Xenopus tropicalis: one gene and its partner. The protein of the gene in region 1 purifies or fractionates together with the protein of each later gene. This does not show direct contact. Links are inferred from orthologs where the notes say so. Each region holds a gene or a part of one and is shown on either strand. Other genes may lie near its edges.

What was found.
Region 2: the proteins of suclg2 (region 1) and suclg1 fractionate together in Homo sapiens (co-fractionation; 6 studies listed by BioGRID and IntAct, counting the BioPlex papers as one, with this or other methods). This does not show direct contact. The link is inferred for Xenopus tropicalis from reciprocal best matches to the Homo sapiens genes SUCLG2 and SUCLG1.

What each region holds. Positions count from the first base shown.
Region 1 is NC_030680.2:143,027,341-143,030,996, forward strand, and holds part of suclg2 (succinate--CoA ligase [GDP-forming] subunit beta, mitochondrial), read left to right. Parts: intron 1-212; coding exon 213-365; intron 366-2,917; coding exon 2,918-3,007; intron 3,008-3,656. UniProt on the Homo sapiens protein: GTP-specific succinyl-CoA synthetase functions in the citric acid cycle (TCA), coupling the hydrolysis of succinyl-CoA to the synthesis of GTP and thus represents the only step of substrate-level phosphorylation in the TCA.
Region 2 is NC_030677.2:9,778,776-9,782,431, forward strand, and holds part of suclg1 (succinate--CoA ligase [ADP/GDP-forming] subunit alpha, mitochondrial), read left to right. Parts: intron 1-1,937; coding exon 1,938-2,041; intron 2,042-3,656. UniProt on the Homo sapiens protein: Succinyl-CoA synthetase functions in the citric acid cycle (TCA), coupling the hydrolysis of succinyl-CoA to the synthesis of either ATP or GTP and thus represents the only step of substrate-level phosphorylation in the TCA.

The DNA.
Region 1 (3,656 bases):
CCAGTAATTTATGAAACTATCAGTACTTGTTATATGCAGTTACATTTCAGTATTTCCCAAAGTGGCAGATCCCTTATTTCTTTTAATTGTGTAGAAATAATAGTTTAGATTCTAGATGACAATATTCTCTAAAATCTCTAGTTCTGTCCTTTTTCTCTGAAATAGTTGTATGCCTTTGCTAACAGGCTTGTGTTCTCCATATATTTATTTAGGTAATGGTTGCAGAGGCTCTGGACATTTCAAGAGAAACCTACTTGGCTATATTGATGGACCGAGCTTGCAATGGACCTGTTCTAGTTGGGAGTCCTCAAGGAGGAATGGACATTGAAGAAGTGGCAGAGAAAACACCGGAACTTATTTTTAAGGTAAATACAATTCCAATGAGCTCAGTCCAAAGACTGGAGAACAGGTTGCTCCCGATTGTCCTACACAGAAATGAAGTTCCTCTGCACTATACTAAAGACTACTTGCACATTTAGCCGTTTTACCTGGATTAATTGTGTTTAGAGAAAATATACCCAAATCTTTCCACATGTGGTGTTTGACATTCTGGAAAATTGGTCTTTTCCCATCAGAAGTGTATAGTCATTGATGAGTCCTTGGACCTATCAAACTGTATTGTGATCCCATTACAGTAGGAGATATCAGGCTGAATTATCGTGTATGGGAGAAATCTGCCTGCATTTTTGTGTCTGTCCTAGGGATGGGGTCGAGGACAGTAGCTTAAACGACAACTAAATGTGAAAATTAATATGTTTAGAAATTATACACAGAATTTAGTGGGCCATAATAGAGGTTCAACAGCCCTATAACAGGAATGAGCCAAGCCTTCTTAATTGTGCACTGGAGCTCCCCATCTTGGATCTTGTTAAGTCATCTCTTGAGAGTGTCAGGGGCACCGCACATGCTCAGTGTGCTTTGGACTTCAGTTGCGAAGCTAAACTACGGGGTCTTCAAAAGGAAGATATCTTTACTTCTAAAGCACCATGGTGGCCCTGAGCTAGTAAAGAAGCCCAAAACATAATGTGTATTTGTTGGTTCCTACTACTTCATAAAACGTTAGTTCTCCGTTAATGTTTTTAATATACCTGCTCTTGTGGCTTTATAGGGCTGGAATTGGGCAAACTAATTTAGGGGAGTTCCTATGATGTCACCAGTAATATCCTGAAAGTTCTTAGAACATCAGTTGGTCAATGAGACTCATGGGGAAGGATGAATCATTCAGACAATGTGCAAGTTCCGCAACCTTATCTGTCAGTTGGAGGCCCTCTCATTCTCATTTTAGGCTACTTCTCTTGTCAAATAATCATCGGTGGAAAGTTCACCAACATGACATGTTCCTTACATTGTATTTCTGTGTAGGAACACTCTGTATTCGCACTTGCTTTGACTGCAATGCATTTTTCTATTTTTGCAATGTTCCTTTTGCCGTATAATTCACTCTCATTTTTCTCGTTTCATTTTGAAGGTATTGAGTGAAGTACAATACATCTCACGATTAGGCCATAGACTTCTGTGAAGCAGAGCGCAGATATGATGAATTCTATGAATTTTCCCAGAATTATTTCCAATTTGTTCACAAAAACAGGGCTGGCTTTAAAAAAGGAAAGGGCATTTGTGCTGGCCCCTAGCCTCCAAAGGGGCCCCTGGAAAGAAACTGGCTTTGGTAAAGGCACATGTAATTTATAAGCCTTTGTGCTTATTTTTTAGATACTCTAAGGCACAGCTTTATCAAAATGGGAGTATAGAGCTTAATACAGGCATGGGACCTATTATCCAGAATGCTCGGGACCTGGGGTTTCCCAGATAAGGGGTCTGTAATTTGTACAGGTACTGTTTTATTATTACAGAGAAAAGGGAATCATTTAACCATTAAATAAACCCAATAGGGCTGTTCTGCCCCCAATAAGGGGTAATTATATCTTAGTTGGGATCAAGTACAGGTACTGTTTTATTATTACAGAGAAAAGGGAATCATTTAACCATGAAATAAACCCAATAGGGCTGTTCTGCCCCCAATAAGGGGTAATTATATCTTAGTTGGGATCAAGTACAGGTACTGTTTTATTATTACAGAGAAAAGGGAATCATTTTCAATAATTAAAATGATTTGCTTATAATGAAGTGTATGGGGGCTGGCCTTAACATAATTCGGAACTTTCTGGATAACTGGTTTTCAAGATAACAGATCCTATACCTGTACATATAAACTCACCCATGTTCTATTTATTCCTATTGGATTTTTAGAAGCATATTTATCTAATGGTGAGTTCTTACCGTTACCCATTGATTAAATACACTTCTAAAAATCCCATAGGAATGAATAGAACACGGGTGAGACTTTAATGTATTTTGCTCTACCCCTAAATGTAGAGTCCCAATCTGGAACTTGTAGTTGATCAACTACAACCCTTATTCTGGTATCTACAAGCTAATTGTTTAATCTAATCATTGATTTCAGTCTCTATGGATATCGGGCTCCATCTGTGCATAGATTCTTCCAAAGTTCGGGGTCCTGAACTTCCCAAAAATGCCCCGAGACCCCCCCCCCCCTCGGTCTGCAGCCCTGCAAATCAACTGGACATAATCCCACATGCACTGGTATCATTCATATGAAAAATACAAGAATTAGCAGTTGAGTGTTTGTTAGTGCCATCTGCCCGCTAATTAAAAGTGAAACAGCAGTGTCAGATTGTATTGTCAGGCTGCCCGAGATAAGAACTGGCTTGTGGGGGAAATGCTTATTTCAGCGCATGTTGATACAATTACTCGGTACCCTATGGGCGCCTGTTTAGCTCCGATCTGGCGCAGGCTGCCCTACTGCCATACATTCATTAATATTGTTTTTCCATATCGAATTAATCCTGTTTATTATAGTCATGGTTTCATATTCCATTAAATATGTCTCTCTTCAAAGGAGGAAATTGACATCTTTGAAGGCATAAAAGACAGCCAAGCGTTGCGGATGGCGGACAATTTAGGATTTAAAGGACCCCTTCAACAGCAGGTAATGTGGAAATCAACTGTCTAATAAGGTTCATGGTTGCCATCATTCATTTTTTTTTTTTCTTCTGTAACTTACAATTTTATTGAGAAGAAAAGAGAAAGGGCCATTTCATGTACAAGAGCCATCGAGTAGAATGTCTGCAAAGTCATCATAATAGTAAAAGGATGATACAGTGCATACAAAGTGGTGAAACTGAGTTTATAAAGAGGGATAGAGAGGGTAAAGGGGAAGAAATGAAGAGGCAAAAGGTGTGGGGGGGTGGGGTGGGAAGGAACACTGGTCATTCTTAAAGGAGAAGGAAAGGCTAATAAAGAGTTAATCTCAAGCTGCAGGCATACCTTCAGTTCTCTCAATAGTGCCCTTAAGTCTCCCCATATTTCTCCCATTCAGATGATCAGAAGCCTCATGGGAAAAAAAAACGCTGAGCTGTGTAAAGAAAGTTCCCATAATGCCTCACTCCTGCACCAAGACACAGACTGGTGAACATGCTCAGTTTGTTAGACTATGAGTCAGCTTCCTGTTGATTGGCTCAGAGGGGGGAGTGAGTTCTTAGCATTCTTGAGGGAGTGGGGAGCAGAAGAGAGTAGAGAGCTGCATGTCTCTGGCACAGGAAAACGGAGACAACAAATCTTTTGATAGAGGACTGAGT
Region 2 (3,656 bases), on another chromosome or scaffold:
AAACAAAAAAATAAACTTTTACTTCTGTTCCAATGTAAAACTCAGAGTAATGTACATATACAGGTATGGGATCTGTTATCCAGAATCCGTGAGACATGGGGTTTTCCAGATAAGGGATCTTTCCATAATTTGGATTTCCATACCTTAAGTCTACTTTAAAATAATTTAAACAGTAATTAAATCCAAAAGGATTGATTCCCTTTTCTCTGTAATAATAAAACAGTACCTGTACTTGATCCCAACTAAGATATAATTACCCCTTATTGGGGGCAGAACAGCCCTATTGGGTTTATTTCATGGTTAAATGATTCCCTTTTCTCTGTAATAATAAAACAGTACCTGTACTTGATCCCAACTAAGATATAATTACCCCTTATTGGGGCAGAACAGCCCTATTGGGTTTATTTCATGGTTAAATGATTCCCTTTTCTCTGTAATAATAAAACAGTACCTGTACTTGATCCCAACTAAGATATAATTACCCCTTATTGGGGGCAGAACAGCCCTATTGGGTTTATTTAATGGTTAAATGATTCCCTTTTCTCTGTAATAATAAAACAGTACCTGTACTTGATCCCAACTAAGATATAATTACCCCTTATTGGGGGCAGAACAGCCCTATTGGGTTTATTTAATGGTTAAATGATTCCCTTTTCTCTGTAATAATAAAACAGTACCTGTACTTGATCCCAACTAAGATATAATTACCCCTTATTGGGGGCAGAACAGCCCTATTGGGTTTATTTCATGTTTAAATGATTTTCAGCAGACTTAGGCTATGGAGACCTAAATTACAAAAGATCCCTTATCTGGAAAACACCAGGTCCTGTTCATTCTGGATAATAGTTCCCATACCTGCAATACTTTTTAAAAATGTGAATTATTTGTTTAAAATTGTGTCTGTGGGAGATAGCCTTTCTGTAATTGGGAACTTTCTGGATAATGGGGTTTCCGGATAACGGCTCCCATACCTGTACTTGTCAGGGTTGCAATGGGGCCTCAGTAGAGTAGCCTTTCCCTGCGCTGCTGGCGTTTGCATAGTGTTGCGCTGCTACTTTCCCTTTGCCCTTTGCAGACACAGAGGTTAATGGTTACCTTTCCCGGTTCCCTAACGCCAGTGACGTACAAAGTGCAACAGTGTGGCGAGTAGAAGTTGCTCCGTCAGGCAGTTGGGTGTATAAACCCCCGGGTTGGACCTTTGTGCCAGTAGCTTTATACAGAGCCGGTGTTTACTGGATACTCTGTGCCCTCTGCTCTCATTCCTCTCAGCGCCTACAGCTGAATTTCTTGTTTGGCCGTACCTGTGTAATTATACTGTGAACCTTGGCTGAGTGTGAGTGACCTCTTGGGGAGTGTGAGTGACCTCTCAGGGCCAAAACAATTTTGTTTTTTTTGCACAGTTTTTAGCTGAAGGTGCCCTTGGCTGAAGCATTCCCTCCTTGCCCTTTCACCTCAAAGAAATGCTTTATTATTTGTTCTTTAGAATTTTCTTTCCAGCTTTCCAATGGGGGTCACTGACCCCAGCAGCTAAAAAACTATTGCTTTGTGAGGCTACAGTGTTATTATTGTTACTTTTTATTCCTTATTTTTCTATTCAGCCCCTCTTCTGTTCATATATTAGTCTCTCGTTCAAATTACTCCCTGGTTGCTAAGGTAATTTGGACCCTAGCAACCAAATAACTGCTGAAACTCCCAACTGCAGAGCTGCTGAACAAAAAATGAAATAATTACAAAAAATTGTTTTATTATTATTGTTACTTTGTATTCCTTATCTTTCTATTCAGTTCCTCTCCTATGCATATTCCGGTCTCTCATTCACACCACTGCCTGGTTGCTTAGGTAAACAAGACCCTAGCAACCAGATAGCACGGGGGAATGATGTGATAGTGCTGCATTGGTGCCCTGGCTGAGAAGGAATCTGTGCTTTTGCCTTTCAGTACAGCAGAATGGAGTACGGCAATGCTCCTACACAGCTTCCAGGAAGCACCTGTATATAGATAAGGACACGAGGGTTATCTGCCAAGGCTTCACTGGGAAGCAGGTATGTATATACTACTTTATTATGTTATACAGCATTGTTATGCATTAAAGGACATGTAAACCCCATGAAGGGAACAGCCTCTTTGTAATCCTTAAACCTGCCACTCTGGTTGTTTAAAGGTTAATAGTAAGGCCGCAGCACCCCCTGAATCACTTGGTTCCTTCCCCTCCTCTGTTGGCTTCTGAGCATGCTCAGTTCTTCTCAGCTCAGATTACTAAACACGCCCTCCAGTCTAGCAGCCAATAAAGAGATTGCGGGTTCCCATAGAAATTCTCACTATTCATCCAGGTCATGGTATCTCTAGTATAAATAAATCTAAAGCAACTGGACTTGTTTTTTGGACTGTTTGATATCCATCCAAGAGGGGGGTAACTTGACAACAGAAGTATACAGGGAACCCACTCATACGGATTAATATCTGTTGTTCGATTCCCACCATCTGCTGGAACACAAACTGGGGGCATTTGAACCCCAAGAGGAATAACCGTCCTGAGACAGAGAGAAGGCGCAATATAGTCACCCCCATATGTAGCAGGAGTGTCGGAGAAACTCAGGAGAATTTTCAACAAACACCACATCCCTGTGTTTTTCAAACCCAGCAACACACTGAGACAAAAACTTGTACCCCCAAAGGATCCAACACCAAAGGAAAAACAAAGCAATGTTGTATACGCAGCCCAGTGTAGCGAGGAGTGCACAGACCTTTACACTGGGGAGACAAAGCAACTGCTCTCCAAGCGAATGCCTCAGTATAGGAGGGGGGGGGGGGACTCTACAGGCCAGGACTCTGCTGTATTTCTGCACCTAAAAGAGATACTAGACTATACTAGACATAGAAATTCTGCTCAGCTGTCTTTTTTTTGTTCTAACCTCCTCTCCTGAGCTCAGCTTAACCTTTGCAGTGCTCAAACAAAATAGAACTTTTTATCAACGTAACTTCTGCCTGTGTAAGCCTGCATTCTCCATTACATACATGAAAATAGGAACAGCTGGTTATATGAATTTTATTGCATTTGTTCACCTGTTTGGCCTGTGATCAGGTAACAAGTCAAGCAAATGTATATAGTTTTAGGCTGGAGTCAGACAAGTAAATAATTGCCTCCCATGTCCCTGGGTGTGCGGCTAGCTCTGCTCAGGAACCGGCTTCATTCCCAAGAGAATTTTACCCCTGTGACTTTAACCCAGAATGTTTAGGCTTCACATATTCTATTCGCTCTAACATTTAGTCCTACCTTCCATCAGAGAGATACAGTATAGATTCCAACAAGCCTTGCATTACACTATAAGCAGTCAAATAGGCCCAACTGTGTCGCCTGGGTCACCTTGAATGCAAAGGGTTAAAGCTGGCAGTGTACTCACTGCTACTATATATAGCACATACAAGCAGCATAACTATGCACTATACATGTAGCCTGTAAAGCTGATTAAACCCAAACACACACACTATCCAACAATTCATAGGGGTCCCCTTCCCCCGGGTTCAGCTGTTGTCTATGGGTCTCTGTGTGTTACATAATACATACATGTAACATAATACAATTGGCCAGACCCCTTTATGCCAATATGGCAAGCTTCTTAGTTATTGCCTTGGAGTCCAGCAAGTAAAAGACCCCTC